4 linked regions of the Stegostoma tigrinum genome follow. Each later gene encodes a partner of the first gene's protein in a complex. Links are inferred from orthologs where the notes say so. Each region holds a gene or a part of one and is shown in the gene's direction. Other genes may lie near its edges. The genes, in order: ahi1, b9d2, mks1 and tmem231.

The links.
Region 2: ahi1 (region 1) and b9d2 share a complex: the UniProt entries of both Homo sapiens proteins name them as parts of the tectonic-like complex. The link is inferred for Stegostoma tigrinum from reciprocal best matches to the Homo sapiens genes AHI1 and B9D2.
Region 3: ahi1 (region 1) and mks1 share a complex: the UniProt entries of both Homo sapiens proteins name them as parts of the tectonic-like complex. The link is inferred for Stegostoma tigrinum from reciprocal best matches to the Homo sapiens genes AHI1 and MKS1.
Region 4: ahi1 (region 1) and tmem231 share a complex: the UniProt entries of both Homo sapiens proteins name them as parts of the tectonic-like complex. The link is inferred for Stegostoma tigrinum from reciprocal best matches to the Homo sapiens genes AHI1 and TMEM231.

Annotation. Positions count from the first base shown.
Region 1 is NC_081357.1:43,904,915-43,912,551, reverse strand, and holds the start of ahi1 (jouberin), read left to right. Parts: upstream 1-4,636; 5' UTR 4,637-4,739; exon of another isoform or gene 4,740-4,837; intron 4,838-7,637. UniProt on the Homo sapiens protein: Involved in vesicle trafficking and required for ciliogenesis, formation of primary non-motile cilium, and recruitment of RAB8A to the basal body of primary cilium.
Region 2 is NC_081392.1:8,436,334-8,444,070, forward strand, and holds the start of b9d2 (B9 domain-containing protein 2), read left to right. Parts: upstream 1-4,729; 5' UTR 4,730-4,976; intron 4,977-6,193; exon of another isoform or gene 6,194-6,197; coding exon 6,198-6,285; intron 6,286-7,737. UniProt on the Homo sapiens protein: Component of the tectonic-like complex, a complex localized at the transition zone of primary cilia and acting as a barrier that prevents diffusion of transmembrane proteins between the cilia and plasma membranes.
Region 3 is NC_081380.1:13,790,994-13,797,923, reverse strand, and holds the start of mks1 (Meckel syndrome type 1 protein), read left to right. Parts: upstream 1-3,909; 5' UTR 3,910-4,656; coding exon 4,657-4,730; intron 4,731-6,930. UniProt on the Homo sapiens protein: Component of the tectonic-like complex, a complex localized at the transition zone of primary cilia and acting as a barrier that prevents diffusion of transmembrane proteins between the cilia and plasma membranes.
Region 4 is NC_081369.1:41,520,825-41,528,032, reverse strand, and holds the start of tmem231 (transmembrane protein 231), read left to right. Parts: upstream 1-4,202; 5' UTR 4,203-4,292; coding exon 4,293-4,431; intron 4,432-7,208. UniProt on the Homo sapiens protein: Transmembrane component of the tectonic-like complex, a complex localized at the transition zone of primary cilia and acting as a barrier that prevents diffusion of transmembrane proteins between the cilia and plasma membranes.

The DNA of each region.
Region 1 (7,637 bases):
GACCAATAGTGACCCACAAGGATCTGTATTGGGTTCTCAATTATTCATGTTATTTATTAATGACTTGGATAATGGAATAGAAAGTCACACATCCAAATTTGCTGACGACACAGTTAAAGGTGGCATTGCAGACAGTATTGATGTTAGCATAAAATTACAAAGGAATATTGATAAACTAAGTGAATGGGCCAAACTGTGGTATGGAGTTCATTATAAGCAAATGTAAGATTATTCATTTTGGACTGAAAAAGTATGGATCAGGGTACGTTCTGGATGGTAAGAAGTTAAGTATAGTTAAAGAGACTTGACGGGTTCAGATGCATTGATTTTTATAATGTCACAAACTGGTGCAAAAATTAATCAAGAAAGCTAAAGGAATGCTGGCCTTTATTGTCTTGAGGGGTACAGTAGAAGGATGTAGAAGTTATGTTGCAGTTATACAAACTCTGCTTAGGCCTCAGTTGGAGAGGTGTGAGTGGACCTGGGCATTACACTTTATGAAGGATATGTTGGCCTTGGAGGTAGTACAATGTAGGTTTACAAGAATGATACCTGGACGTCAGGAGTTTATTTACCAGGAATGATTATACAATTTATACCTGTCTTCTCCAGAATTTAGATGGTTAAGGGTTGATCTGATTGAAGTTTTCAAGCTATTAAACAGGAAAATACAGAGTAGATGTGCTGGATCGCGGCATGTGCCTAAGTGATTCTTTCAGATTCAGGTTAAGAGAAGGCTCAACAACAGCAATTTGCTTAAATACAAATGTTTATTAAATAATAAATTATTATAATAGTAGTAGTAAATGATTATAGCAGTGATAATAAATGGAAGCGAAGAAAAAAAGCAAAAAGTCTCAAGTTCCTCTGCCCTCTGGAGACCCCTCGATCAATGTCTGGTCTACAGGCTTAGGTTCATTCCTGGCACCATTTACGAAGCCGGTCTTATGTTAAGTCCATCAGCCATGGAACAAAACTTTCACACTCTCATACAGTATTACAAAACAATCAGGACAGAAAACAACAGATACAACAGACAAAACAGCTGGCTCATTCAGAAAACAAGTTTTTTTTAATTGTGCTGTCTGTGGCACTCATCCAAGGTCATGCAGCTTGTTGAATATCATCAACAATTTTAGTCTTTCAGCATATCCTATATAATCCACCCCAATGATATATGACAGCATATGTTAGAATTACAGATGCAGACACACATCAGCGACAGCCACACAAGAATGTACAATAAACACCTACACTAGAAGATTAAAGCTACAATGAAAATAACTAGCATCGATACAAAGAATAGAACGATGGGGTGTATCGTCAAATTGATCGCAGTTCCCTTTGGGGACCTACCTTAAAATATATACATGTAGAAACAATACACCAAGGGTTGTGTGCACGCGTACACGCGTACACACACACACACGATGTGCTGTCCAGTGGAAACAAGGGTTATGGGGATAAGGATACTGATTGTGGATGATCAGCCATGATCATAATGAATGGTGGTGCTGGCTCGAAGGGCCGAATGGCTACTCCAGCACCTATTGTCTATTGTCTAAAAGAACAACCAAGTGGTGCCACCTGGTTGAGGTGACCAGAATATCCTCTACATTCTTAGTTAGTTATTCTATTTACATAATTTGCTCTACAGTTCAGTATATTCCAGATTCAGGTTCTTCATTTGTGTTTTTTTTTCAATTTTCTATCCACAGACTCCTGCTTAACGTGTGTCTTCGCTTGTTGTTTTTTCCACATACACTAATTGCCCTAACATATTTCAATTTCCCCTACTGGTTTAGTCACAAGAACATCCCAACCAGACTCATCCACCTACCATTTCCCGGTGACTCTACATTTCCCCATGTCTAATCCACCTAATTTACACACCCCTGAACACTACAGGCAATTTAGCATGGCCAATCCACCTGACCTGCACGTCTTTGGACTGTGGGAGGAAACCCACACAGCTACAGGGAGAATGTCTGTGTGGAGTTGGCACAGTCACCTGAAGGTTGAGTCGAAAGTTAAAAGTTAAAAAGTTAAATTTTTACCAAACTTTACGAATCAAAATTTTGACTCAACATTGTGCAAATTTTGGCTTTACACAACCACTAATGGTTTCTTAAAAGGTCATTACATTAACCGTATATGCTCCACACAAATAAAGGCACCCAATGCACTTTCAAATCACCAGAGACTCCCAAAATGCTGACTCAACGTCAAATTATCTCCGGCTGTAAAGCTCCAGGAATCAAAAAGACACAAATTATGTGAGGCGACATTCAGCAACCAACGAAGGTGCATTCAAACTAGACCACGAAGAGTTAACACTTCTACAATGTTCAGTGCACAGTGCCCCAGTTATAACTGTCTCCCACACATTTGGGGGCCCTAAAAGGGAGCTGCACCGGTGCCAGACTGAATTGCTTCTAATAATGCAGTTCATGCCTCTTCTATATTCATAGTTTAGTTTTTATGGAAAATCTGGAAAAGGAGGAGCACAAGTGTTTGGTACGTAGAAATGGTAGGCAGGTTTGAAGCACATAAATTATGTGAGATGCAATCACCTTATTTCATAGCAGTAACATCAATTTGAAAAGAATCTGAAAGTTGAACTTGGACTGATTGCAAAGGACACAGATGTGTTACTTGACTGATCACATGAAGCAGCCAATCCAGATTGGAGGATTTGGGCTAATAAATATGTTAAGAGAATGGATATTTCTAAGCACATTTTGAACTGTTTCAGAATGGTATTAATGAGGTATGAGACTACTTTCCTTACTCTGTTTTTTTTTAGCACAGATATTTTGGGGGTGAAATGCTCTTCCACAGTAGCATTTAGCAATATTCATCCAGACTATGAGTTTTGCCAGATTTCACATGAGAATTGCTTGGCTTCCCCTAAGGAGAAACTGACAAACTTCACGGAAACCCAGGTTCAACAGACTAATCAGTGGCTGTTAAATAGATGCTGAAACCTTCAAAATGTATTCATCTATGTTGTACGGTCTTAAATCCATCACCTGGTTAACTGCGAAAGTTCCTGAAGAATAAGTAGCAAAGTGACCACTGCATTATTGCGATAGCAAGCATAAGCTGGCTTCTTGGTGTACAGCAGTGATTCCTCTAGGGAGGAGATGTAGACAGTCAATGCATATGATTTTTCAAATGTAAGATTTGTCAAAGCCATCATACCTGTTGGTGTCTGGTTTGAATGAGGAACTCACAGGTTCCTTCATACTTCTTTCCTTTTACCCTTACATCTGATGCAAGAGCTTCATTCTGCTGACCTGCCTGCTCTGTTCCTTCCGTTTTGTCAACTGCAGAGTGTGATTCCACCAGGACAGCAATCGGTAGGGAACCCCCTGGTTTTGCAACAAATGACAACACCTTCTGGTTTCCGATAACAAGGTGTAGAGCTGGATGAACACAGCAGGCCAAGCAGCATCAGAGGAGCAGGAAAACTGACATTTCAGGTCTACATCCTTCAGTCTCCAACCATTTTAACTCCCACTGCCAGGGTGACATGTCCATCCTGGGCCTCCTCCAGTGTCGCAATGACACCACCTGCAAACTGGAGGAGCAGTACCTCGTATTCTGCCTCGAGAGCCTACAGCCCATGGCCTAAATGTGGACTTAATCAATTTTAAAATCTCCCCAGACCTGCCTCATCCCATGACCAATGTTCCCACTCATCCCAGCCTCCATGACTTGACACAACCAGTCCATCTTCTCTCCCACATATCCATTCCTCCCACCTCACTGACCAATCCCTGCCACTGCCTGCTTACACTTACCTGTCACCATCCCCAACGCTCCTCTATTTATTTCTGAGCTCCTTTCACCCTCCCCCATTTCTGAAGAAGGGTCCTGACCCAAAAAGTTAGCTTTCCTGCTCCTCTAATGCTGCCTGGCCTGCTGTGTTCATCCAGCTCCACACTGTTGTCTCTGACTACAGCACGTGCAGTTCTTGCAGTCCTCTCAAAGGAGTCGCAGTGTAATCTATTTGGTGACAAAAGCAAAATAGAACAAGTGCTAGAAATCAGAAATTAAAGCAGAAACTTCTTAAAATACTCTAGTTCTGTGCAGCAAAAACATTCAATGGTTCCAGTGAATGTTTTATTATGAACATGCAATAAAACTTTTATTTACAAATACCATGCAGTTAAATCTACAGTCAGCAACCAACAATAAAACGATTAAAAAGCCAAATGTGGTAAACATTCATCATTCCTTACAACATCTGAAAAACTCATGCAACAAGAAACGGTGATGGAAAATAGAACAGTTCACAAACTGAAAGACACAACTAGAAAGGTTTGTTCCCATCCTCTATTGAAAGCAACATTTCCGGGTAGCAGTAAGACCAGTGAACTATTCAAGGAAAAAGTGCAGGATTTTAAAACTGTCATCAAAGACGCTTTAACAAGAATGTGGCCGCAAACTGAGACCTCCCCGAACTGGGGGGCTTTCCCAAATGAACTGACCCCTCGCTAACTCGGGCTTTACCCTAACCTGAGGTTTATTTCCCAGTTGGTTGAATGTGATTGCCTTTGGCGGCCGGTCCGGGCGCAACTTGAGCACGTGATTAGAGGAGGTGAGGCGAGATGATTGTGACGGAGCTGGTGCCGCGCCCCCTGGCAACAGTGGGAGGAGGAGTAGTGACGCTGGGAACGGACACCGCGGGCCGCTGATGCCGAACCGGTTGTAGCGTCACTTCCTACAGTCAGGTCAGTAACCGGCGATAACCCGCGTCTCCCCCATTGGTGCTTTCCGTCTCGGTGTAAGGCCGTCCTGCCGTTGCTAGGCCACGTCTCAAACAGTGGGGGTGAGTTTAATTTGGGGCCATTACGCCTCGCCTCTACCACCCCACTTCTCCGACCACTCCCGCACCATTTCACCCTCTAACCCCCATCTGCCCCCCTCTCTCCCTCCTATCTATCCCCCTTCCTCTGACACACTTGTTCTCCCTTGGATCACTGTCTGTGATCGTGTTCCCTCCCGGATCACTGCCTGGGATCTTGTTCTCCCTGGGATCATTCTCTGGCACCATGTTCTCTCCAGGATCACCGTTTGAGATTGTGTTCTCCTTGGGGTCACTCTCTAGTATCGTGTTTTCCCTGAGATTGCTATCTGGGATTGTGTTCTATCTGGGATCACTGAATTGTCCTGTTCTCCTTGAGATTGCTGTTTGCAGTCTTGTTCTGTCAGGGAACACTGGCAGGGATTGTGTTCACTCTGAGATTGTGTTCTCCCCAGGATCAATCTTTGGGATTGCGTTGTCCTTGGGATTTGTCTCTGGAATCTGTTTCTGGAATCATGTTCTCTCTGAGATTGTGTTCTTCACTGGGATCCTGTTCTCCCTGGGACCTGTTTCTGGAACGGTGCTCTCCGAGGGATCATTCTCTGAGATCTTGTTTTCCCTGAGACCACACTGTAGGATCTTGTTCTCTATGGGATCATGTTCTCTCCAGAATCGTCTGTCTGGGATCTTGTTCTCCCTGGATCACCTGTTGGATTTGTGTTCTGTCAGTGATTACTGTCTGGGATCATGGTCTTTCCAGGATCACTGTCTTCAGTCTTATTCCTAGACGTAATTCAGAAATTATTGTCTTCTGGAATTTTAAAGCAGTGGTAAAGAGATCTGTCAAAAATTAAGGAAGAACATAACTGGAGATGAACGAGACAAAGTCGACAATAAAAACTGGAACCTTCCCCAAACACCAATCAAGTAAGGGCTTCAGCGGACACATGTATAGTAACACCCAATCTTCAATCATACAAGTAGACCGAATTTGAAATCTATTTGTATGTATATTTCTCATTGTTTACGGGCACCATAGAGGGAATAAGTTCATGCTAATTTTTTTTAAAATTAGATTCCCTACGGTGTGGAAACAGGCCCTTTGGTCCAACAAGTCCACACCGCCCCTTGATATATCCCACCCAGACCCATCCCCCTATAACCCACACGCCCCTGAACACCATCGGCAATTTAGCATGGCCAATCCACCTGGCCTGCACATCTTTGGACTGTGGGAGGAAACCGGAGCACCTGGAGGAAACCCATGCAAACATAGGGAGAGCGTGCAAACTCCACACAGGCAGTTACCCGAGGTTGGAATCGAACTTGGGTCCCCTGGCACTGTGAGGCTGCAGTACTAAGCACTGAGCCACCAAGTCGAATTAGGAAAATCAGAATGGCTATTTTTATGGGATTAACTGAGAAATACCAGGGATATGTGAAAGGCAGGGCCAATACAACAAAGTAGTACAAGTATATAAAAATAGGATAAGGGCAGGAAAATAAATTAAACATCAGGGGAGTAACTTTGAGATGAAATAATTAATTTAGCAAGTAAATCAAAGTAAGTGTGTTTAAGCCATGGCTGCTTCGTTCAGTGAAGTGAAATGTGTCACCTTGGAAGTCCTGAACCCTACTACTGCCTTAGATGACCACGTGTGCAGCAAGTCTCCCAGCTGCAGAAACTCAAACTTAAGATTCAGAGCTTGAGTAATGGCTAGACATTGGTATGTTCTCAAGTGTGAGGGCTACATGGCTCACACATTTAGAGAGGTTGGCAAACTGCAGTTTACATGAATAACAGGAATGGACAACCACCAGACCGTCCAAGAGGAGAAGGCAGACAATCTCCTGGGGTACTGCCCACAAATCGGTTTTCTGTTTTGGAAACTGATGGGTGCTGGTCCTCAAGGAGATGTAGTCAGAGCCAAGCTTCTAGCACTGTATGTGGCTCAACTGTACATGAGTGGAGGAAGAAAACAGGAGTGATAATGAGAGACAATTTGTTATGTGTGGTAATAGATGGGCATTTCTATTGCTGTCAACGTGACTACAGGATGGTAAATTACCTCCTGATGCCAGGGTCAAAGATGTCACACAGCAGCTTCAGGGTATTATTCTGAGGGAGGGCGAACACCCGGAAGTTGTGGTCTGTGGTGCCAGTAACTTGGATAGGAAGGAGGATTGGCCCTTCAAACAAAATTTATGGAGCTGGGTCCTCAACTGCAGTTTTTTCTGGATTACTTTGATTACCCATATACGAGTGAATACAGAAAAAGGAGGATAATGCGTATGTGTAATTAGATAAATGGTGCAGGAAAGATGGCTTTAGATTCCCGGGACACAGGGACTTGCTGTGGAGGACATAGCAACTGTACAAGCTGGACTGATTGCAGCTGAGCAGATCTAGGACTGACTTCCTTGGGGGTGTTTTTCTGGTGCTTTTGGGAGAGCCTTAAACTAACTTGGCAGGGCTGTGAGTACCAAGGGAGCATAGTAGAAGAGAATACCAGGATTCATAGGGTACTAGTAGCACTAATACAGTGCATGCCAAATTAATCATGAATTTGGAATAAGGAAAAATGAAATGAAGTCCTAAACACGGTTAACATGAATATATCCAAGTACACAGGATAGAATACACGTGGTTTGGGTGGAAATATAATGAGGTGATAACTGAGACCTGGCTCAAGGAAGGGTAAGATAGAAAAAGAAAGAAAGGAGGGTAGAAGTATTTGTTAAGCAGGACATTGCAGTGATGGAAAAAGAGGATTTCTGAAAGGTTCAAGGACCCAGTCAATTTGGCTAGAGCTAAGGAGCTCAA
Region 2 (7,737 bases), on another chromosome or scaffold:
GTGCATTTCCCTACCACACCACAGATGACACTTCCAAAATTATTTCATTGGCTGTAAAGCATATTGGGATGTCCAGAGATCAAGGAAGATGCTCTATAATTGCATGTTCTTAGTTTATAATGTACTCCTCTCATCCCTGCTAGCATTCTTGTAATCTGTTTCACACCGGAAGCCTTGATGTCCTTTAAAGTATTTTCGGATCAGATCATGATGCGAAAAGGGTTGGCAGAAGTTTTGAAAATAGTTTGGACACGGAGGAGAAGCAGGAAGAGGGTTACAGGTGAGGGCAGAGGGAACAGGGAGAATGGGGTTGGGTAGACGGACGGGTTAAATAGAGGGATGTAGGAGAATCACAGAATCCCAACAGTGCAGAAAGAAGTCGTTCAGCCTGCATCGACTCTCCAAACAACATAGCACCCAGATGCAGCCCTTCTCCCATAACCCTGCATTAACAACAGCTAATCGCTGAGCCTACACATCCTGGGACACTATGGCCAATCCAGCTAATCTGCACGTTTGGACCGTGGGAGGAAATTGGAACACTGAGTAAAAACACACACAGACACGGAGTGGGCGGGTATGTAAACTCCAGACAGTCACCTGAAGGTGGGAACTGAACCCGCGTCCGTGGAACTATAAGGCAGCAGAACCAACCACCCCAAAAGACAGGGAGGAAGAATGGGGGAGGTGGAGAGGGGATGTTGGGATGTGAGACGAGGAGTGGGGGCGGTGAGGAATAAAAAGTGGAAGGGGGAACATTGGGGTGTGAGAGGAGGAGCGGGGACGGTGAAGGATAAAGGGTGGCGGGGGAATGTTGGGGTGTGAAAGGAGGAGCGGGGGTGGTGAACAATAAAAGGTGGAGGGGGAATGTTGGGGTGTGAGAGGAGGAGCGAGGGCAGTGAAGGATAAAGGGTGGAGCAGGAATGTTTGGGTGTGAGAGGAGCAGCGGGGGCGGTGAAGGATAAAGGGTGGAGCGGGATGTTTGGGTGTGAGAGGAGCAGCGGGGGCGGTGAAGGATAAAGGATGGAGCGGGAATGTTGGGGTGTGAGAGGAGCAGCGGGGGTGGTGAAGGATAAAAGGTGAAGAGTGAACGTTGTGGTGAGAGAGGAGGAGCGAGGGTGCTGAAGGATAAAGGGTGGAGCAGGAATGTTGGGGTGACAGAGGAGGAGCAGGGCGGTGAAGGATCAAGGCTGGAGTGGGAATGTTGGGGTGTGAGAGGAGGAGCGGGGGCGGTGAAGGATAAAGAGTTGAGCAGGAATGTTGGGTGTGAGAGGAGGTGTGGGGGCAGTGAAGGATAAAGAGTTGAGCAGGAATGTTGGGGTGCGAGAGGAGGAGTGGGGGTGGTGGATGGGGAATGTAGGGCTGTGAGAGGAGGAACGGGGATGGTGAAGGATAAAAGGTGGAGCGGGAATGTTGCGGTGTGAGAGAAGGAGTGGGGGCGGTGAAAGATAAAAGGTGGAAAGGGGATTGTTGGGGAGTGAGAGGAGGAGCGGGTCAGTGAAGGATAAAGGGTGCTGGAATGTTTGGAGTGAAAGGAGGAATGGGGCCGGTGAAAGATAAAGGGTGGAGCGGGAATGCTGGGGTGTGAGAGGAGGTGTGGGGGCGCTGAAGGATAAAAGGTGGAAAGGGGAATGTTGGGGAGTGAGAGGAGCAGCGGGGGCGGTGAAGGATAAAAGGTGAAGAGTGAACGTTGTGGTGAGAGAGGAGGAGCAGGGGTGCTGAAGGATAAAGGGTGGAGCAGGAATGTTGGGGTGTGAGAGGAGGAGTGGGGGTGCTGAAGGATACAGGGTGGAGCAGGAATGTTGGGGTGTGAGAGGAGGAGTGGGGGTGCTGAAGGATAAAGGGTGGAGCAGGAATGTTGGAGTGCGAGAGGAGGAGTCCGGGTGGTGAAGGATAAAGAGTTGAGCAGGAATGTTGGGGTGCGAGAGGAGGAGTGGGGGTGGTGGATGGGGAATGTAGGGCTGTGAGAGGAGGAGCGGGGATGGTGAAGGATAAAAGGTGGAGTGGGAATGTTGCTGTGTGAGAGAAGGAGCGGGGGTGGTGAAAGATAAAAGGTGGAAAGGGGAATGTTGGGGAGTAAGAGGAGGAGCGGGTCGGTGAAGGATAAAGGGTGCTGGAATGTTTGGAGTGAAAGGAGGAATGGGGCCGGTGAAAGATAAAGGGTGGAACGGGAATGCTGGGGTGTGAGAGTAGGTGTGGGGGCGCTGAAGGATAAAAGGTGGAAAGGGGAATGTTGGGGAGTGAGAGGAGGAGCGGGGACAGTGAAGGATAAAGGGTGGAGCGGGAATGTTTGGGTGTGAGAGGAGGTGTGGGGGCGCTGAAGGATAAAGAGTGGAGCGGGAATGTTGGGCTGTGAGAGGAGGAACGGGGACGGTGAAGGATATAAGGTGGAGTGGGAATGTTGGCGTGAGAGAGGAGGAGCGGGGGCAGTGGATGGGGAATGTTGGGGTGTGAGAGGAGGAGCAGGGGCGGTGGAGGGGGAATGTTGGGGTGTGAGAGGAGGAGCGGGGGCGGTGGAGGGGGAATGTTGGGGTGTGAGAGGAGGAGCAGGGGTGGTGAAGGATAAAGGCTGGAGCGGGAATGTTTGAGTGTGAGAGGAGGAGTGGGGGCAGTGAAGGATAAAGAGTTGAGCAGGAATGTCGGGATGCGAGAGGAGGAGTGGGGGTGGTGGATGGGGAATGTAGGGCTGTGAGAGGAGGAGCGGGGATGGTGAAGGATAAAAGGTGGAGCGGGAATGTTGGGGTGTGAGAGAAGGAGCGCGGGCGCTGAAGGATAAAGAGTGGAGCGGGAATGTTGGGGTGTGAGAGGAGGAGCAGAGGCAGTGAAGCACAGAGGATGAAGGGGGATTGTTGGGGTGTGAGAGGAGGAGCGGGGGCCGTGAAGGATAAAGGGTGGAGTGGGAATGTTAGGGTGACAGAGGAGGAGCGGAGGCGGTGAAGGTTAAAAGGCGGAGGGGGTATGTTGGGGTGTGAGAGGAGGAGCAGGGGCGCTGAAGGATAAAGGCTGGAGCGGGAATGTTGGGGTGTGAGAGGAGGAGTGGGGGTGGTGAAGGATAAAGGGTGGAGCGGGAATGTTGGGGTGTGAGAGGAGGAGCGGGGGCGGTGAAGGATAAAGGCTGGAGCGGGAATGTTTGAGTGTGAGAGGAGGAGTGGGGGCGGTGAAGGATAAAGAGTGGAGGGGGAATGTTTGAGTGTGAGAGGAGGAGTGGGGGCGGTGAAGGATAAAGAGTGGAGGGGGAATGTTGGGGTCTGAGAGGAGAGGGGGTGGTGAAGGATTAAAGGTGGAGGAGGAATGTTGGGGTGTGACAGGAGGAGCGGGGGCAGTGAAGGACAAAAGGTGGAACGGGAATGTTGGGCTGTGAGAGGATGAGTGGGGGCGGTGGAGGGGGAATGTTGGGGTTTTTGAGGAGGAGAGGGGGCATGTTGGGGGTGAGAGGAGTGGGGGCGGTGGAGGGTGAGTGTTGGGAGTGAGAGGAGGTGTGGCGGCGGTGGATGGGAAGTGTTGGGGGGTGTGAGGAGGTTTGGGGGCGGTGGAGGGGGAATGTTGGGGGGTGAGAGGAGAGGGGGCGGTGGAGGCGGAGTGTTGGGGGGTGAGAGTAGGAGAGGGGGTGGTCGTGGGGGAATGAGAGGAGGTGTGCGGGCAGTGGATGGGGAGTATTGGGGTTTGAGAGGAGGTGTGGGGCAGTGGAGCGGAAATGCTGGGGGGTTAGAGGAGGAGTGGGGGTGGTGGAGGGGGAGTATTGGGGTTTGAGAGGAAGTGTGGGGCAGTGGAATGGGACTGTTGGGAGGTGAGAGGAGGTGTGGGGGCGGTGGAGGGGAAATGCCGGAGGGTGAGCGGGGGCGGTGGAGGGGTTATGTTGGGGAGTGAGAGGAGGTGTGGGGGCGGTGGATGGGGAGTGTTGGGATGAGAGAGGACAGGGGTGATTGAGGGGGAGTGTTGGGGGTGAGAGGATAGGTCAGTGCAGGGGGGATGTTGGGGGGTGATAGGAGGAGAGGGGGCGTTGGAGGGGAAATGTTTGGGGGTGAGAGGAGAGGGGACGGTGGAGGGGGAGTGTTGGGGGTGAGAGGATAGGTCGGTGGAGGGGGAGTGTTGGGGGGTGAGAGGGGGCATTGGAGGGGGAATGTTGGGGGTGAGAGGAGGGGTCGGTGGAGGGGGAGTATTGGGGGGTGAGGAGAGGGGGTGGTGGAGGGGGAATGTTGGGGGGTGGCGAGAGGTGTGGGGGCGGTGGAGGGGGAATGTTGGGGGGTGAGAGGAGGTTTGGGGGCGGTGGAGGGGGTACGTTGGGAGGTGTGGGGGCGGTGGAGGGTGAATGTTGGGGGGTGAGAGGAGGTTTGGGGGCGGTGGAGGGGGTACGTTGGGAGGTGTGGGGGCGGTGGAGGGTGAATGTTGGGGGGTGAGAGGAGGTTTGGGGGCGGTGGAGGGGGTACGTTGGGAGGTGTGGGGGCGGTGGAGGGTGAATGTTGGGGGGTGAGAGGAGGTTTGGGGGCGGTGGAGGGGGTACGTTGGGGGGTGAGAGGAGGTTTGGGGGCGGTGGAGGGGGTACGTTGGGGGGTGAGAGGAGGTTTGGGGGCGGTGGAGGGGGTACGTTGGGGGGTGAGAGGAGGTTTGGGGGCGGTGGAGGGGGAATGTTGAAAAGCTCTGGAATGGGGGTGGGTTTTCAGCCGATGCTTGACCTCGCCCCGCCCCATACATATCCAATTGGCTGAATGCCGTTGCGTTCCAGCCAATAGGCGAGCACAATACTTGGTTGCCAAGAGCTGAGGCATCGATGGCGGTAGCGGAGAAATAGTTAGCGAATAAGAAGACTGGGAGAGGAGGAGAGAGCGAAAGAGAGAGATAGATCGAGACTACGGGCAAGAGATAAAGAATTAAGGAAGACGAAGGGAACGGGGACATTTCACGGATGTCACGCGAAACGCAGTGCCCCTCTTCTTGATGCTGATTGGTTGATCCGTCGAGTGGCTACGTTCCGATTGGTGGGTCAGCATGTCAATCATGGTTAGGACCGGGCCTACATCTGGCAGGAGTCTGTTTAAAATAACCAGAATAACTAAATTAACAAGAACAGCTAATATAAAACATCCAGCAAGATCACTGGATTCAAATGTTAACTGTTTCTCTGCCCACCGATTCTTCGAGACCTGCTGAGTTTCTTTTCTTCACTCACTACTCTCCATCAGAAAACGATATGGGCAACAGTTTGGGGTTAATCGCAGAGTAAATCGGCCTTTACTTATTAAACTGAAGCCTCAACACTGTGTCAATCAAACATTCCCAGGTCAGGGACAGCATTGAAACAATGGATTGTATTGATTACAAAAGTAGAATTTGCTTGTCAAGCTCAGCAGATCTGGCTGCATCTGTGGAGAGAAGCCAGAGTTAACGTTTCGAGTTGAGTGGCCCATCCTAAGAACTGATTGCATTGATTATTTCATGTAGTTCTTGGGGCTGTAAGGATCAAAGGGTATGAGGAGAAAGCAGGAACACGGGACTGAGATGGATCATCGGCCAGGATCATATTGAATGATGGAGCAAGTTTGAAAGGCCATATGGCCTACTCCTCTCTTGTTATGTTTTTGTTGACCTTATTTGTGCTGAAGCACTTGTAAACAAAAATCAGTTTGCTGTATGGCATTGCCTCTACTCCCGGCATTTCAAGGAATCAAAAGAAACATAAGGAAAATTTTTTTTTCATGCTGAGTGTCGGGAATGCACTACGGTTTCGTGGAGGCAAACTCACTTAAGGCTTTGGAATTGGATAATTATTTGAAAAGCTTTGTATGCCTATGTGAGAATGGGACATGCTAAGTTGCTGTTGGAAAGAGATGGCACTGACACAAATGACCTCCTATGTCAACCATATTCAAAATACTTTATAAAGCATATTTGTAGTTTGAGGAACTGAGAGTTCCTGAGCTTTGCCTGCTCTGAAAACCTTGGAGTAGGAATGAAAGAATTGAAAGGAATGAAGGAATTTGAGTTAACCCTCAACAATACCTTTTAGAGTTTGCAATTTTAAAAATCATTTTTGACAATTTTTATCTGTGGGTATGTTTCCCTGGTTCGTTGGGTGCTTGACCTGAAATCTGTTTAGCCAGAAGAATGGAAGTAATGTTTGATACCAGGGAGTGTGATTGCTCTCTGTTTGGCTGAGGGTGCAGTTTGTACATAGCCTAATATTCTTTTTTTGCAGGAAGATGGCTGAGCTGCATATTATCGGACAGATTGTTGGAGCAAGTGGTTTCCCGCATAACAGCCTGTTCTGTAAATGGGGGCTGCAGACAGGTGAGACTCTTGCTGATGTGTGTGTTGGGAGAGGAATGGAGGATGTTGAGAAACATGAGTATCATGTGCCACATTTAATTTCTTCTACGTTTATCTGCCAAGGCCAGAATTAGTTTCCCATCCCCAATTGCCCTTGACTGAGGGGCTTGCTCGGACCATTTTGCAAGGCTGTTAAGAGTTAAATATGTTGTTGTCGGTCTGGAAACACATGTAGGCCAGATGGGTAAGGATAACAGATTTTCTTCCCCAAAAAATGATAGTTTCATAATCACCATCATGGGTTATTTAGATTTACTGTCCAAATTTATTAATGGAATTTAAATTCCACCAGCTGCTGTGATGGGATCGAAACCACGTCCCCAAAGTGTGTATGGGGATACTTTGGATCGCAAGTTACAACATTACTGTTGTTAGCACCTCCCTGCTAAACTGCATTTCCTGGTAGTACAGCAGGGGTGCTGGCATCTGCTCTGCTTGATTCCTGTTAGAGACGTGGACTTAAAATGGTTTATAGTTCAGACCAAGTAAGGATTCTGTTCAATAAGGGACATTATAGAGAATCACTGGGCTTGTATGACCATGCATAATAGTAGTCATGGTCACTGTTTTTGACACTAGCTTTATATTTCCAGATTTATTAGCTCTAGTCTGTTTAAATTTTCCACAAGCAGATTTTTTTTTTAAATTTCCAATCAACACATCTCAGAAACATATTTTATCTTCATTAAATTGTCTTTCATAGCCTTGTGATGTCCATGTGTAAATTAGAAAAATGTCTTTGAGAAAATAATGTTCTGTATTAGGTTATAGGAGTACTTTTGAGAGATGTGGTAAGCTTGAGATTGTTGACTTGCTCACCAAGCCAACTTGAGCTGACTTCTTTTTGTTCAGACGTTTTGTCACCATGCTAGGTGACATCATCAGTGGAGTCACCGATGAAGCGATGTTATTCTACTCCACTTGGAATTTAAACTGTCTGGTCCGTTGCTCATCGTGACAAAAAGTATGAACAAAAACAAGTCAGCTCAGTGAGCAAGTCAACAACCTCATCCACAACCCAAGCTACAGATATTTGCCAAAACTTTAAATATGGTGAGAGATAGTAAGAACTGCCATTGCTGGAGTCTGAGATAACACAGTGTGGAGCTGGAGGAACCCAGCAGGCCAGGCAGCATCAGGGGAGCAGGAGAACTGACGTTTTGGATTGGAATCCTTCTTCAGATTTGAAGAAGGATCCCAACCCAAAATGTCAGCTGTCCTGCTGTTCTGATGCTGCCTGGCCTGCTGTGTTCCTCCAGCTCCACACTGTGTTATCTTTAAATATGGTAAGCTTGCTTGAGTGGAACCATCTCAGTTTTTCCTTGTCATGTCAGGTGCTTGCTAAACTAATTCATCATGATCAACTGGAAAGATTAGTCTACAATTCTGTTACTGTTGTATCATTTGGCCACC
Region 3 (6,930 bases), on another chromosome or scaffold:
AAGTTGTAAGTACCCCAAATTTCAGTTACATATTGCATAGTGTTGTTTTGGCTAATTCAGTATTTTGTCCTTGTGTATTGCATCTGTATTCCACTTCACTACTTCTTAATCCTAACATTATAACTTTTAGCACATGCCCCAGTGAATAATTTGTATGTTTTAGCTTCATTTTTGGGGGGGGGATCTTGAAAGTGTTAAAGACATGTCCTTTATATGAAAAAGGCAAGTATGTTTACAGTATGGCCTCTTACCGTATCTCATCCACAGACCCCATCCCACCAATTCCCCAGCCCAGTGGAGATTATGTACCTAGCTTCTTGCTCCTTTTATATAGTGGATCTTTTAACCACTGGGTTCTCTTTCAGAGTTTCTGAAGAACAGAGATTTCCTAATTACAATATGGAGACACCTATCTTGTTGATACAGATTTTGCTTTTCATGGAAGTGAAGCCAGGACAATGTGAAACCTATTAAAAGATTGTAATTTCTGAAGAAAAATGCATAAGAGTTATATTTTTGAATACAAAGAGCTAAATAGACTGATCAATTTGTACATTGAATATTTTTCTTTGCTATTCCACTTAGCTTGCTCTATTTGAAGGTAACTGTCATTTTTGTTACTGTTTGCTTTTAGTCCAGGACATGTGTAAAGTTTGCTTTGTATTTATGGCATTTGTGCAATGGAATGGAAACCAGCCAGAATGTTCTGGAGCATTCAAACAGGCTCACTTTTTTTTCAAAATAAGGTTTGAATTATAGTAAATTAATTTTCCTATGATATGATGGACAATTCATTTTTGTGTTGTACTGGAACATGTATCGTTAAGTTAAATACTGATAGTTCTGATTTGTTTGGAAAAGTAGTTGAGTTTCAATCTCAGACAACACAAATGTTGATGAGGGATTCTAAATGTTGTCTGTATAAAAAGCCTTCATTAGTATTAGTTCAGAGAGGCAATAGGCATTGCTTAAGGAAAGTCCATGCACTCAGTGTATGATACATCTTTTTGCATTGCAGCCAATATTAATAATTAATTTGTGAATCACTTGAACTCTGTTTTAAATGATTCAAAAATGTAATTAAATTCCTTTCATAATTTAAGAAAAACTTTGAACTTTATTGCAAGTGCTATTTCCGGCTTTTTTTTGCCTCAAGTAAATTTGCCCAGCCATGGAGAAAGAATGTTAATAATTTGTCATGCTTTTGCAGTATGACGCTCCAAAGAAATGATTTGAAGGGTATATATACATTGTCAGGTGGAATATGGTGCTTAGACTGCACTCTATTCATAGTGGCAGACTTTAGAAACACCACTTATAGAGCATTCAGTTTTACAAAATGACCAATTTGATTCTATTGGATATCCCAAATTCTAAACAATAGTTTTTCAGTTAGATGTTTATATTTTCTTTTAAAATTTTCAAATGGTAAGCACCAGCCTTGGCAATTGGTATAAGCACATGTGTATATTTTTAAAGTATTTGTGTATTATGGCCATTTGCAAACTCCACTGTTTAGGATAAAGCACTTACTGAAAGTTATTTTCTGATATTTAGTGAAGCACTATAAAATGAGTGCTGATTCTCTCCTATTGCCTTTGCTGTGTTATTGACTTCAAAATCTGTCTCCTGTTCATGAATATGGAGACAGAAACAAATCACTGGCGTGCCTCAGTGATAGAAATTTGCTAAAGATGCAAACCATGATGTTTAAAAATACTTTTTTTACCTCGGAAGTGTTGCCTTTCATATTGTAAAACCTAAATGACTATTTAGATTGCTTTTTGAAATGCTTGTGAAAATAAAGTGTTGCAATGCATTAAAAAGTGCATTATTATACTTTGACTTCTTATATTCTAGGTGATTATAATACATCTGGTAAATTTAAACTTGCGATTTGTAATGTGATATGCCACCCCACATAGACACAATAGGCAAGGTTAATGCAGTTTGGTGCAATGTACCTGAGATTTCAAAAGACCAAAGTGGATTCCTGACTAAATTGAGGTTAGGAACTGAAGGAGCAGACTGACAACCTAGTGTTCCACAGAATGCTGTTTGCAACTATTATTATCTATTATTTATATAAATGTTTACCACCAAATTAGAGGTTTTGTTTATACTGATAAAATATAACAAATGGTAACGTGCAGATTGGGCATGTAAGTGACAAATGATGGGTGTAAGGTGCTGTGGTTTGGTAGGAAAAATAAGGAAGTTATCTTGCAAAATAAGTTAATGTGGTATAAATTCACAAATCATGAAAATTAACTGTGCTGGTTAACAAAGCTCTAAAAATGCAAATAAAACATTCAGGTTCAGAGCTTATATTTTTGTATTTAATTAACTTATTAGTGTTAGATTTGTATTGAAATTTAGACCACATATTGGAATACTGGGCAAATATCTGGTTTCCATTATTGCAAAAGGAGTGTAAAGTAACTTTTGGAGATGTATTCTTGTAGGATTTATTTTGCATTAGAACTGAAAGGTTACAACTACCATGGAAGACTAAACAAGCTTTTCTCTGGATTCAGAAGTGATTGGATTGAGGCCTAAGATTTTAAAGGAGCTTAATGGGGTGGAGAAGATATTTTCACTTGTGGAATAATCCAAAATACAGGGCCATAAATACAACATAACCATTCATAAATATAGCGTAAAACTAGAGTAATTTGACAACACCAAACTGCAAATCTTCTAAGCTTGTGACCTCTATGAAGTCCTGTATAGTAGTGAGATCAGGACTACTTATGGTAGGCAGGGTTAAAAGCTGAGGAACTGCTGTCCCAATTGTATCCTCAGCATCTCTTGGCAAGACAAAAATCACTGACTCTGAGATCCTGGTTTGTGATAGATATACACATTACCAAAAATCTGTAGTGACTTGGTAATGATGTTGGATAGATGATGACTTATGTGGTAAACTGGACATTGAGTCTAATCTCAATAAATATGGAGCTCGAAAAGCACAGCATCTGAGGAGCAGGGAAGTCAATGTTTCCGGTTAAAACCCTTCCAGCATCTGCAGTCTTTACTATCTCCAAGTCACTGTATGAACATCTGCTGGATGTCCATACCTCTGCAACAACATACTTACAAATGAAAACAGCAAACATTGATGTAGGCAATTAGGAGACAGCCACTGAGTGCTGAGGATGATTATTCAGAGGGAAAGCAGAAGAGGCGAGAAGAAATGGGAAGATCAGCTAGCCTAGAAGTGGGCCCAGGGAAAACCAAGTTTTTAAAGGCAGAGACTACAGTTTAAATTTTTCGACAAGATCTGTATCTTGGGTTGTGGATGAAGTTGTAGACATGCTTGCTGAACTGGTGGGCTGGTTGCAAATGTATCATCACCCTGCTAGATAATATCGTCAGTGCACCTCTGGTGAAGTGTTGGTTTTCTGTCTGGCTTGTTATTCATATGTCTCAGTTTGTTGGGGTGTTTGGTACCACTTCCAGCTGTGTTTTTCAGTGAATTAGACCCTGTGTACAAACTAATGTGTTTGTTGATGGAGTTTGGTTAGAATACCAGGCTTCCAGGAATTCCCTGGTGTGTTGCTGTTTGGCTTGAGCGATTATGGACGAGCCTACTGTGCTGGAGTAATACTTCTGCATCACAGTAAGTGATGTTTAACAGAGTTGACCACCAAAGTGCAAGCAACCGCCTTGTGAGTTGGGAGGCTGACAAACTAATAAATTTAGTAAGGAATTTTGGGGAAAATTCTTTAATCAATGTGATAATGTTAAAACAACATTCAGGACATACTCAGCAGGTTTGGCAGTATCTTTGGAGAAATAAATAAAGCTAATAAAGTGCAATGGCTCATTTTAAGCAATCGTGTGGAGTTAAACTGCAATCACACATGATCTTAGTAAATGACAGAGCAGGTTCAAGAGTCCAGGTGGCCTACTCCTCCAATTATGTATGTTGACATATGGGAGACAGGTTAACTGATGTTAAACTGATGAGTTGAAATGAAGTAAGGGGGGGGGGATGCATTTGATCGAGATAAAGACTTAAAATGATTGGGCTGTAAATACTATGAAGTACAAGTGTGATTCTATACAAGCAATGATTGCTACCAAATAGCACCCAACAGCCATGGGTATGGTTGAATTTGCCCTGGGTACTGTTGGAACACTGGACCCACTGAAGAGAAAATATTCTCCTTTAGTTTGCTAAATTTCCTTTTCTGTAATGTGAACGCTAATTGCTGGTGCCCTTGTAGAAGGGCATCTTATGTGATTGGGCCAAACCCAAAAAGAGTGAACGATTCTGGGGAGACAGACTGTGCAAGTTACGGCAGTTTGAGTTGGTGGTCGACGAGGAGAAGGGTCTGCAGAGGTAACAAGGCGTAGAGCTGGATGAACGGAGCAGGTCAAGCGACATCAGAGGAGCAGGAAAGCTGACGTTTCGGGTCTGGACCCTTTTTCAGATAATCATCTGCAGAGGGACAGTGATGGAAATGTCAGCTTGAATTATCGGGACTTACAGCGTTTGTACAGTTGATAACCGGGAGACGTGAGAGCCACGACCGCTGCTGCCTGAGCCGGGCTGGGGCACAGCCCGCAGCTGGAGCTGACGCGGGGATCCGCTCCGACACGAGCTGCAGGAGGCCTGAGGCCTGCTCCGTTACCAAGGAAACCGCGGCTATGGCGGAGTGCGGCAGTGAGCGGGTGGAGGCGGTTTACCGGACCCTCGACCCGGTGAAAAATCTCCGAATCCGGTATGGGCGGGGCGGGATGAAGGGTTTTTTATTATTTCCCCCTTGGAGTGGAGTGGAATGAGAATAGCATATCCTGGGGGCAGGAGTAGGAGTGAGACAAACGCAGGGTCAGGGCCCATTGTGAGAATAATTAATTATTTTGTTGTAAATGACATTAATGTAGGGACGGGGAATGATTGTGTTTAATGTCTGAGGACTGTGTAGAGTGAGGTGGTAGGTCATATTAATGTGGGTTGGAGCATTCAGCTGTGGCATATATAGGATAAAAGAATAGAAAATGTTTTGCTGTTTCAGTATGGGAAGGCGATGTCCTAAAAGGAGGAAGGGGCATTCGTTAACTCTGATTTTGCTTTCTTTACAAATGCTGCCAGACCTGCTGAGCTTTTCCAGCAACTTCTGTTATTCGTCCTAAAAATGGTATTATCACTAGACTGTTAATCCAGAAACACAGCTGGTGTCCTTTAAAGATAACAAAATGTGAGGCTGGATGAACACAGCAGGCCAAGCAGCATCTCAGGAGCACAAAAGCTGACGTTTCGGGCCTAGACCCTTCATCAGAGAGGGGATGGGGGGAGGGAACTGGAATAAATAGGGAGAGAGGGGGAGGCGGACCGAAGATGGAGAGTAAAGAAGATAGGTGGAGAGAGTATAGGTAGGGAGGGGATAGGTCAGTCCAGGGAAGACGGACAGGTCAAGGAGGTGGGATGAGGTGAGTAGGTAGATGGGGGTGCGGCTTGGGGTGGGAGGAAGGGATGGGTGAGAGGAAGAACTGGTTAGGGAGGCAGAGACAGGTTGGACTGGTTTTGGGATGCAGTGGGTGGGGGGGAAGAGCTGGGCTGGTTGTGTGGTGCAGTGGGGGGAGGGGATGAACTGGGCTGGTTTAGGGATGCAGTAGGGGAAGGGGAGATTTTGAAACTGGTGAAGTCCACATTGATACCATATGGCTGCAGGGTTCCCAGGTGGAATATGAGTTGCTGTTCCTGCAACCTTCGGGTGGCATCATTGTGGCAGTGCAGGAGGCCCATGATGGACATGTCATCTAGAGAATGGGAGGGGGAGTGGAAATGGTTTGCGACTGGGAGGTGCAGTTGTTTGTTGCGAACTGAGCGGAGGTGTTCTGCAAAGCGGTCCCCAAGCCTCCGCTTGGTTTCCCCAATGTAGAGGAAGCCGCACCGGGTACAGTGGATTCAGTATACCACATTGGCAGATGTACAGGTGACTCTCTGCTTAATGTGGAATGTCATCTTGGGGCCTGGGATGGGGGTGAGGGAGGAGGTGTGGGGACAAGTGTAGCATTTCCTGCGGTTGCAGGGGAAGGTGCCGGGTGTGGTGGGGTTGGAGGGCAGTGTGGAGCGAACAAGGGAGTCACGGAGAGAGTGGTCTCTCTGGAAAGCAGACAGGGGAGGGGATGGAAAAATGTCTTGGGTGGTGGGGTCGGATTGTAAATGGCGGAAGTGTTGGAGGATCCTTGTGACTCCCTTGTTCGCTCCACACTGCCCTCCAACCCCACCACACCCGGCACCTTCCCCTGCAACCGCAGGAAATGCTACACTTGTCCCCACACCTCCTCCCTCACCCCCATCCCAGGCCCCAAGATGACATTCCACATTAAGCAGAGGTTCACCTGCACATCTGCCAATGTGGTATACTGCATCCACTGTACCCGGTGCGGCTTATTCTACATTGGGGAAACCAAGCGGAGGCTTGGGGACCGCTTTGCAGAACACCTCCGCTCAGTTCGCAACAAACAACTGCACCTCCCAGTCGCAAACCATTTCCACTCCCCCTCCCATTCTCTAGATGACATGTCCATCATGGGCCTCCTGCACTGCCACAATGATGCCACCCGAAGGTTGCAGGAACAGCAACTCATATTCTGCCTGGGAACCCTGCAGCCATATGGTATCAATGTGGACTTCACCAGTTTCAAAATCTCCCCTTCCCCTACTGCATCCCTAAACCAGCCCAGTTCGTCCCCTCCCCCCACTGCACCACACAACCAGCCCAGCTCTTCCCCCCCACCCACTGCATCCCAAAACCAGTCCAACCTGTCTCTGCCTCCCTAACCGGTTCTTCCTCTCACCCATCCCTTCCTCCCACACCAAGCCGCACCCCCAGCTGCCTACTAACCTCATCCCACCTCCTTGACCTGTCCGTCTTCCCTGGACTGACCTATCCCCTCCCTACCTCCCCACCTACA
Region 4 (7,208 bases), on another chromosome or scaffold:
TTTGACCAACCTGTCTTGAGCCTAAACCCCATGCGCCATCAAATTGCACTATAAAAGAAGTTTGAGAACCAGAGAGAACATATTTCAAGTAATTAGCTAAAGACAGTCCCTTTGATATCCCTGGTGATATTCTTTATCTTGTCAAAAGTAAAGTTCCCAGTGGTGTGGAAATTGTTTATAAGTGGATGAAAAACTTTCAACTCAACTGGTTGACAATGTCATCTCCAGTCTCTCAGAAGACAATCTTCAATCCTTGCTTAATGCCTTCACGGAAGCTTACTGAAGAATTGGTTTCAGCCTCACCCTAAAGATAACTCAAATCTTTTATCACCTGTCGCAAGTCAAGTTCTTGTCCATCCATCCATTAAGAACAACAGAGAAATCCTCCCAAATGTGGAAGATTTCCCCCACCTGGGAAGATAGCTGTCATCTATGGCTGACATCAATGACATGGATGACCGTGACATCTGCGCTGATACTAAAACCCTTCTGTATAATGCAGTCATCCTTCTGACTGTTCTACTTGGCTCCAAAACTTCAACAATGTATAAACACCAACTCAAGGTCCTTGAGAAGTACTATCAATGCTGTTTGAGATAGATTCTCTGATCAGCTGGGAGGACAAGTGAACTAACATCAGCATCCATGAAGCAAGAACACCAGCATCAAGACCACGATGATCCAAAAACCATCTGTTTTGGACTGCCACTCGCTTAAGATGCCTGAGCTTTGACTGCCAGAGCAAATCATCTTTGCCCAGTTTGAGGAAGGCACTTGAGCAAGAAGAGGACAAAGGAAGCATTTCAAAGGCTCCCTGAAGACTTACCCCAAGAAATACATCATATATGTCAATGTATGGAAGGACCTTTGTTTAGAAGCAACTGACTTGGAGGAAGGTCCTATTTGAATGGGCACAATTCTTTGAGAACACCCATCAGCGGGAGGAAGTCTGGAAACTAACTAAAGAAAGAAGTGCCAGTGACCTCAAAGCCAAGGACCAATTCCATCACCTAAAAACATCTACCAAATGTGTGGTAGAACAGGAAGTTCTAGGATTGGATTTATTAGCTATGCAAGAATTCACAGGACCAATAAACAGCGACATGGAATTCCGTAAGTGAACAATTGTGATTGTTGGTGATTGATGAAATGACAACTTGTGGTGACTTGAAGACAATCTTTTACATGTAACTGGAGGTAAAGTTGTGTGAGCTGCCACAATGGTAAAGAGCTGGTTCAGTTGATGCATTCAAGCACAATTTAGATTGTTATAATGAAAAAGTACAGAGTCATAGAGCTGCAGTTTGGAAACTGACCCTTTGGTCCAACTCATCCATGCTGATCAGATATCCTAAATTAATCTGGTCCCATTTGCCTGCATTTGGCCTATATCCCTCTAAATGTTGTAATTGTACCAGCCTCCACCATTACCTCTGGCAGCTCATTTCCATATATGCACCACCCTCTGTGAGAAAAAAGTTGTCCCTTTTAAATCCTTTCCCTCTCACCTTAAACTTAAGCCCTCCAGTTTTAGATTCAACTATCCCGGGGAAAACACTGGCTACATTAAGCATATAAGTCCTGCCCTGATTTGCCTTTCCAAAATGCAGCACCTTACCTTTATCTAAATTAAATTCCATCTGCCACTCCTCAGGCCATTGGCCCATCTGATCAAGATCCTGCTGTAATCTGAGGTAACCTTATTCACTTTCCTCTACACCTCCAATTTTGGTGTCATCTGCAAACTTACTAACCCTACCAACTATCTTCACACCCAAATCATTTATATAAATGATGAAAAGCAATGGACCCAGCACTAATCCTTGTGGCACATCACTGGGACTCCAACTCTGAAAAGCAGCACTTTGCCACCACCCTCTGTAGTATACCTTTGAACCAGTTCTGTCTCCTAAGATGCTGCTTGGCCTGCTGTGTTCATCCAGCTCCACACTTTGTCAACTTCCAATTATCTTTGTATCCAAATGGTTCTGAAGAACAGTCACCGGACCCTGAAACGTTAACTCTGGTTTCTCCTCCACAGATGCTGCCAGACCTGTTGAGATTTTCCAGCAACTTTGTTTTTGTTCCTGTATCCAAATGGCTAGTTCTCCCTGTATTTCATGTGATCTAATCTTATTATCTGAAAAAGGAGGAACTGTACATGGAACAAGTGGGGATTAGCACTCGAGTGATTTGTTTTTTCAGAGAGCGAGCACAGACATTACGGTCTTAATTGCCTCCCTCAGCGCATGGACGAACCTACGATTCTGAGAACGATCAAGCAGAGTTCTGAATGATAAAATGTGAGGCTGGATGAACACAGCAGGCCCAGCAGCATTTCAGGAGCACAAAAGCTGACGTTTCGAGCCTAGACCCTTCATCAGAGAGGGGGATGGGGTGAGGGTTCTGGAATAAATAGGGAGAGAGGGGGAGGCGGACCGAAGATGGAGAGAAAAGAGGATAGGTGGAGAGGAGAGTATAGGTGGGGAGGTAGGGAGGGGATAGGTCAGTCCAGGGAAGACGGACAGGTCAAGGAGGTGGGATGAGGTTAGTAGGTAGGAGATGGAGGTGCGGCTTGGGGTGGGAGGAAGGGATGGGTGAGAGGAAGAACAGGTTAGGGAAGCAGAGACAGGTTGGACTGGTTTTGGGATGAGGTGGGGGGAGGGGACGAGCTGGGCTGGTTGTGTGGTGCAGTGGGGGGAGGGGACGAACTGGGCTGGTTTTGGGATGCGGTGGGGGGAGGGGACGAACTGGGGTGGTTTTGGGATGCGGTGGGGGAAGGGGAGATTTTGAAGCTGGTGAAGTCCACTTGATACCATTGGGCTGCAGGGTTCCCAAGCGGAATATGAGTTGCTGTTCCTGCAAACTTCGGGTGGCATCATTGTGGCAGTGCAGGAGGCCCATGATGGACATGTCATCTAAAGACTGGAAGGGGGAGTGGAAATGGTTTGCGACTGGGAGTGCAGTTGTTTATTGCGAACCGAGCGGAGGTGTTCTGCAAAGCGGACCCCAAGCCTCTGCTTGGTTTCCCCAATGTAGAGGAGGCCACACCGGGTACAATGGATGCAGTATACCACATTGGCAGATGTGCAGGTGAACCTCTGTTTAACATGGAAAGTCATCTTGGGGCCTGGGATAGGGGTGATGGAGGAGGTGTGGGGGCAAGCGTAGCATTTCCTGTGGTTGCAGGGGAAGGTGCCGGGTGTGGTGGGGTTGGAGGGCAGTGTGGAGCGAACAAGGGAGTCACGGAGAGAGTGTCTCTCCGGAAAGCAGACAGGGGTGGGGATGGAAAAATGTCTTGGGTGGTGGAGTCGGATTGTAGATGGCGGAAGTGTCGGAGGATGATGCGTTGTATCCGGAGGTTGGTGGGGTGGTGTGTGAGAACGAGGGGGATCCAATTTGGGCGGTTGTGGCGGGGGCGGGGTGTGACGGATGTGTTGCGGGAGACGCGGTCAAGGGCGTTCTCGACCACTGTGGGGGGGAATTTGCGGTCCTTGAAGGACCTCCGCCGCATCTGCTCCCACGATGAGGCATTCCACTCCCGCACATCCCAGATGTCCAAGTTCTTCAAGGGCCGCAACTTTCCCCCCACAGTGGCCCTTGACCGCGTCTCCCGCATTTCCTGCAACACATCCCAGCCCAGTTCGTCCCCTCCATCCACTGCATCCCAAAACCAGTCCAACCTATCTCTGCTTCCCTAACCTGTTCTTCCTCTCACCCATCCCTTCCTCCCACCCCAAGCTGCACCTCCATCTCCTACCTACTAACCTCATCCCACCTCCTTGACCTGTCCGTCTTCCCTGGACTGACTTATCCCCTCCCTACCTCCCCACCTACACTCTCTCCTCCTATCTTCTTTTCTCCATCTTTGGTCCGCCTCCCCCTCTCTCCCTATTTATTCCAGTTCCCTCCCCCCATCCCCCTCTCTGATGAAGGGTCTAGGCCCGAAACGTCAGCTTTTGTGCTCCTGAGATGCTGCTTGGCCTGCTGTGTTCATCCAGCCTCACATTTTATTATCAAGGATTCTCCAGCATCTGCAGTTCCCATTATCACAGAGTTCTGAATGAGATTTGCGGGTCGGGGTGAGCGGGGGGGGGGGAACGACATCGCCCTCCAGCTCTGATTGGATGGATCTCGGCGAAGGCCGGACCCTGTCGTCCTGTGATTGGGCGGTACCGCTATCAGTCGCGATAGCCCCGCCTCTCACCGCGCGGCCTGACGACAGTTGCCCTGGGAAGCTGACGCCAAACTTGAATCGAAGTGGTGGTTTCTCCAGGAACACTCGGCTACCAATGGCCATCTACGAAGTTTATTCGCACCCGTCTTTAATTCGTTACAAAACAAGCATTTTCACCAAAGCTACGTTGTTCTTATTGATAGTCGTGGCGCTGACGTACATCCCGCCGCTTTTGGTTGCCTTCAGGAGTCATGGTAAGAGATTTAATTCAGTCTGCTGACAGACCATTGGCCTACTTAAATACTTTCTTAGATATGTTCGAATTAGAAATCTGAGTGATGTGGTTTTTATTGTTGTTTCTACGGTTTGGTGTAAATGAAGCTAATTGTATGACGTATTATGTTTGTGAGGGAAATAGTACGATTTATGGAACCTTTGGTGGGACCATTACTGGAGAATTTTGTGTAATTTTGATCTTTTTAGCAAAGAAAGTAAATATTTGCTTTAGGGGGTAATTAGACTGATTCCCGGGATGAGGGGTTTTCCTAGAAGAATAATTTATAGGTTGTGTCTGTGTTAACTAGAATTTAAATGAATGAGATCTCACTAAAGTATACAAAATCCTAAAGAGATATGATGCGGTCAGTGCAGGGAAGATGATTTCCCCTTGCTGGCAAGTTTGGAGTTCAAAATCACCACCTCAGAATAGAGGTTTGAATATTTGAAGGACTGATTTGAAGTGAAATTTCATTGCAGTCAAAGGTTTTAACGTTTGGTTGTTTGGTGGGGAGTGGGGAGTGAGGAGTGAATGATAGATGGAGATGGAGATGGAAATTGAGGGAAAAATAGATAGGCAGACAGAAGTATGGGTAAAGGTCAGCCTGGGAGAATCAATTGCTGCTAATGGAGACTGTTAGTGGCTGAAAGTGGATTGTATATGGTGGCAGTTCATGTGATAAAGTAGAAAATAAGATGCTGTTCTTCGAGCTTGCTCTGAGCTTTGCTGGAGCAAGCCTGAGACATCGGTTTGGGAATGTGGTGGTGTTAAAATGGCAATAGATTTTGGTTATTAATACATATGGGGAAACTGCAGGAAAGTGGAATAGGAATGGAAGATTCCCCATAAATGATTGAGCTACTCTCGCTCCCTTTTATATGTTCTGTTTGGTATTTTTTCATGAATGGGTAGAGGCTTGTAAATAGTTGTCTGAATTTGAACGCATTTTGCTTCTGCATTGGAAACCATTTTACAGTTTTGTAAAATTCTATCATTGGATCTGTACATTACTAGCAAGGGCAGCATTTATTGTCTTTGAACTGGGTGACTTGCTAGCCTTTTTCAGTGGGCAATTATGAGTGAAACACATCAGGGATTCGCATGTAGACCAAACTAGGTAAGGATGCCAGATTTCTTTTCTTGAAGAACATTCGTGAACTAGATTGACTTTTACAAAGTCAATGATAGTTTCATGGTCACCCCAAGACCAGCTTTTAATTCTAGATTCATGAATTCAACTTAAACGCCACCAAGTGCCAATGGTAGGATTTAAAATGAGGTCAAGAGAGCATTAGCTTGAGTCTCTGGTCCACTGCCATGACCACTATGCCACTAGATACCCTAAAAAGTAAAATAAATGATCTCCTGAAATTGAGATTGTTGTCTTCAAAATTGACATTCAGAATGTCTGAATGTGGGAGTGATAGGCTATGTTTAGTGAAATTGAGATGGATATGGATAGGCAAAATATCTCTTCTTGTCCTTCTTTACCGGTCTGCATCTTTTGTCTGGTTGACCAAGCCATTCCCCAGTAACATCACTCCATGCCATCCAGTTGTGGGATTGCACTTGCCTGGTTACAATTATAGCTATCTAATTATAGCCAGCAAATCACTTGCATGACTTCCTGTTCCCAGTCTCCTAATATTCATAACACAGTGTGGACCTGGAGGAACATAGCAGGCCAGCCAGCATCAGAGGAGTAGGAAAGTTGACGTTTTGCGTCAAGGCCCTTCTTCAGATTTCTGAAGAAAGCTCCCGACCTGAAACATCAGCTTTTCTGCTCTGACTCCAGCATTTCTGCTCTGACTCCAGCATCAGCAGTTCTTACTATCTCCTTTTTTCATTTCTTTTATCCATGTGCTGCCACTTGGTGACACATTTGAAAAGGGTGTGAGATTCTGCATGTTTGCTTGCTGAACCCAGTTCTAGCCCACTACTATCTGTCATGACCCCTTCATGCTGTCTAAAAATTCCCAGACTGCTTGGTTGATATAAAGTACATGTTGAAGAGAAATTTCCTCCAACTAATATTGGGAAGAACAAAGCTGCTGTAATTAATTGTTGCTGTCAGGTAGCACCTGTTCAGCAATGATCTGCTCACTGATGTTCACTTTGGATTCTGCCAAGGCCACTCAGCTCCTGATGTCATTACAATCTTAATTCAGATATGAACAAAGAACTGGACTTAAAGTGAATTGAGAGTGACTGCCTTTCACATGAAGGCAACATTCAACTCAGTAAGGCATCAAGGAGCCTGAATAAAACTGGGTACAGTGGGAACTGGAGAGCAAGCTCTTCACTGAATGGAGTCATACATGAAAAGGTTGTAATTGTTAGAGGCCAAACATCTCATTCCCGGGACTAGTGTCCTAATCTCAAACACCTTCACTGTGTCATCAGTGACCTTCTGTCCATCACAGGGTTAAAAGTGAGCGTGCAATCATCAGTGAACAAATGTCCAGAATTATTCATAATTTGTGCCCATATGCAGCATTGCAGACTAGAACTAATAGGTGGTAAGTAACAATCTCACAGTACAAGTGGCAAGCAATGACCATCTCCAATAGGACAGAATTTAACATTCGGTGTCTATTCATTAATGTAATGTGAAAGCCACCAGCTAGGGCGGCATTCATTACCTATCCGTAGTTGCCCTTGAGAAAGTAGTGATGAGCTGCTTTTGTTACTGCTGCAGTTCTTTTGATAGGCACACCCACAATACTATTTGGGAGATGTTTTCAGGATTCCACT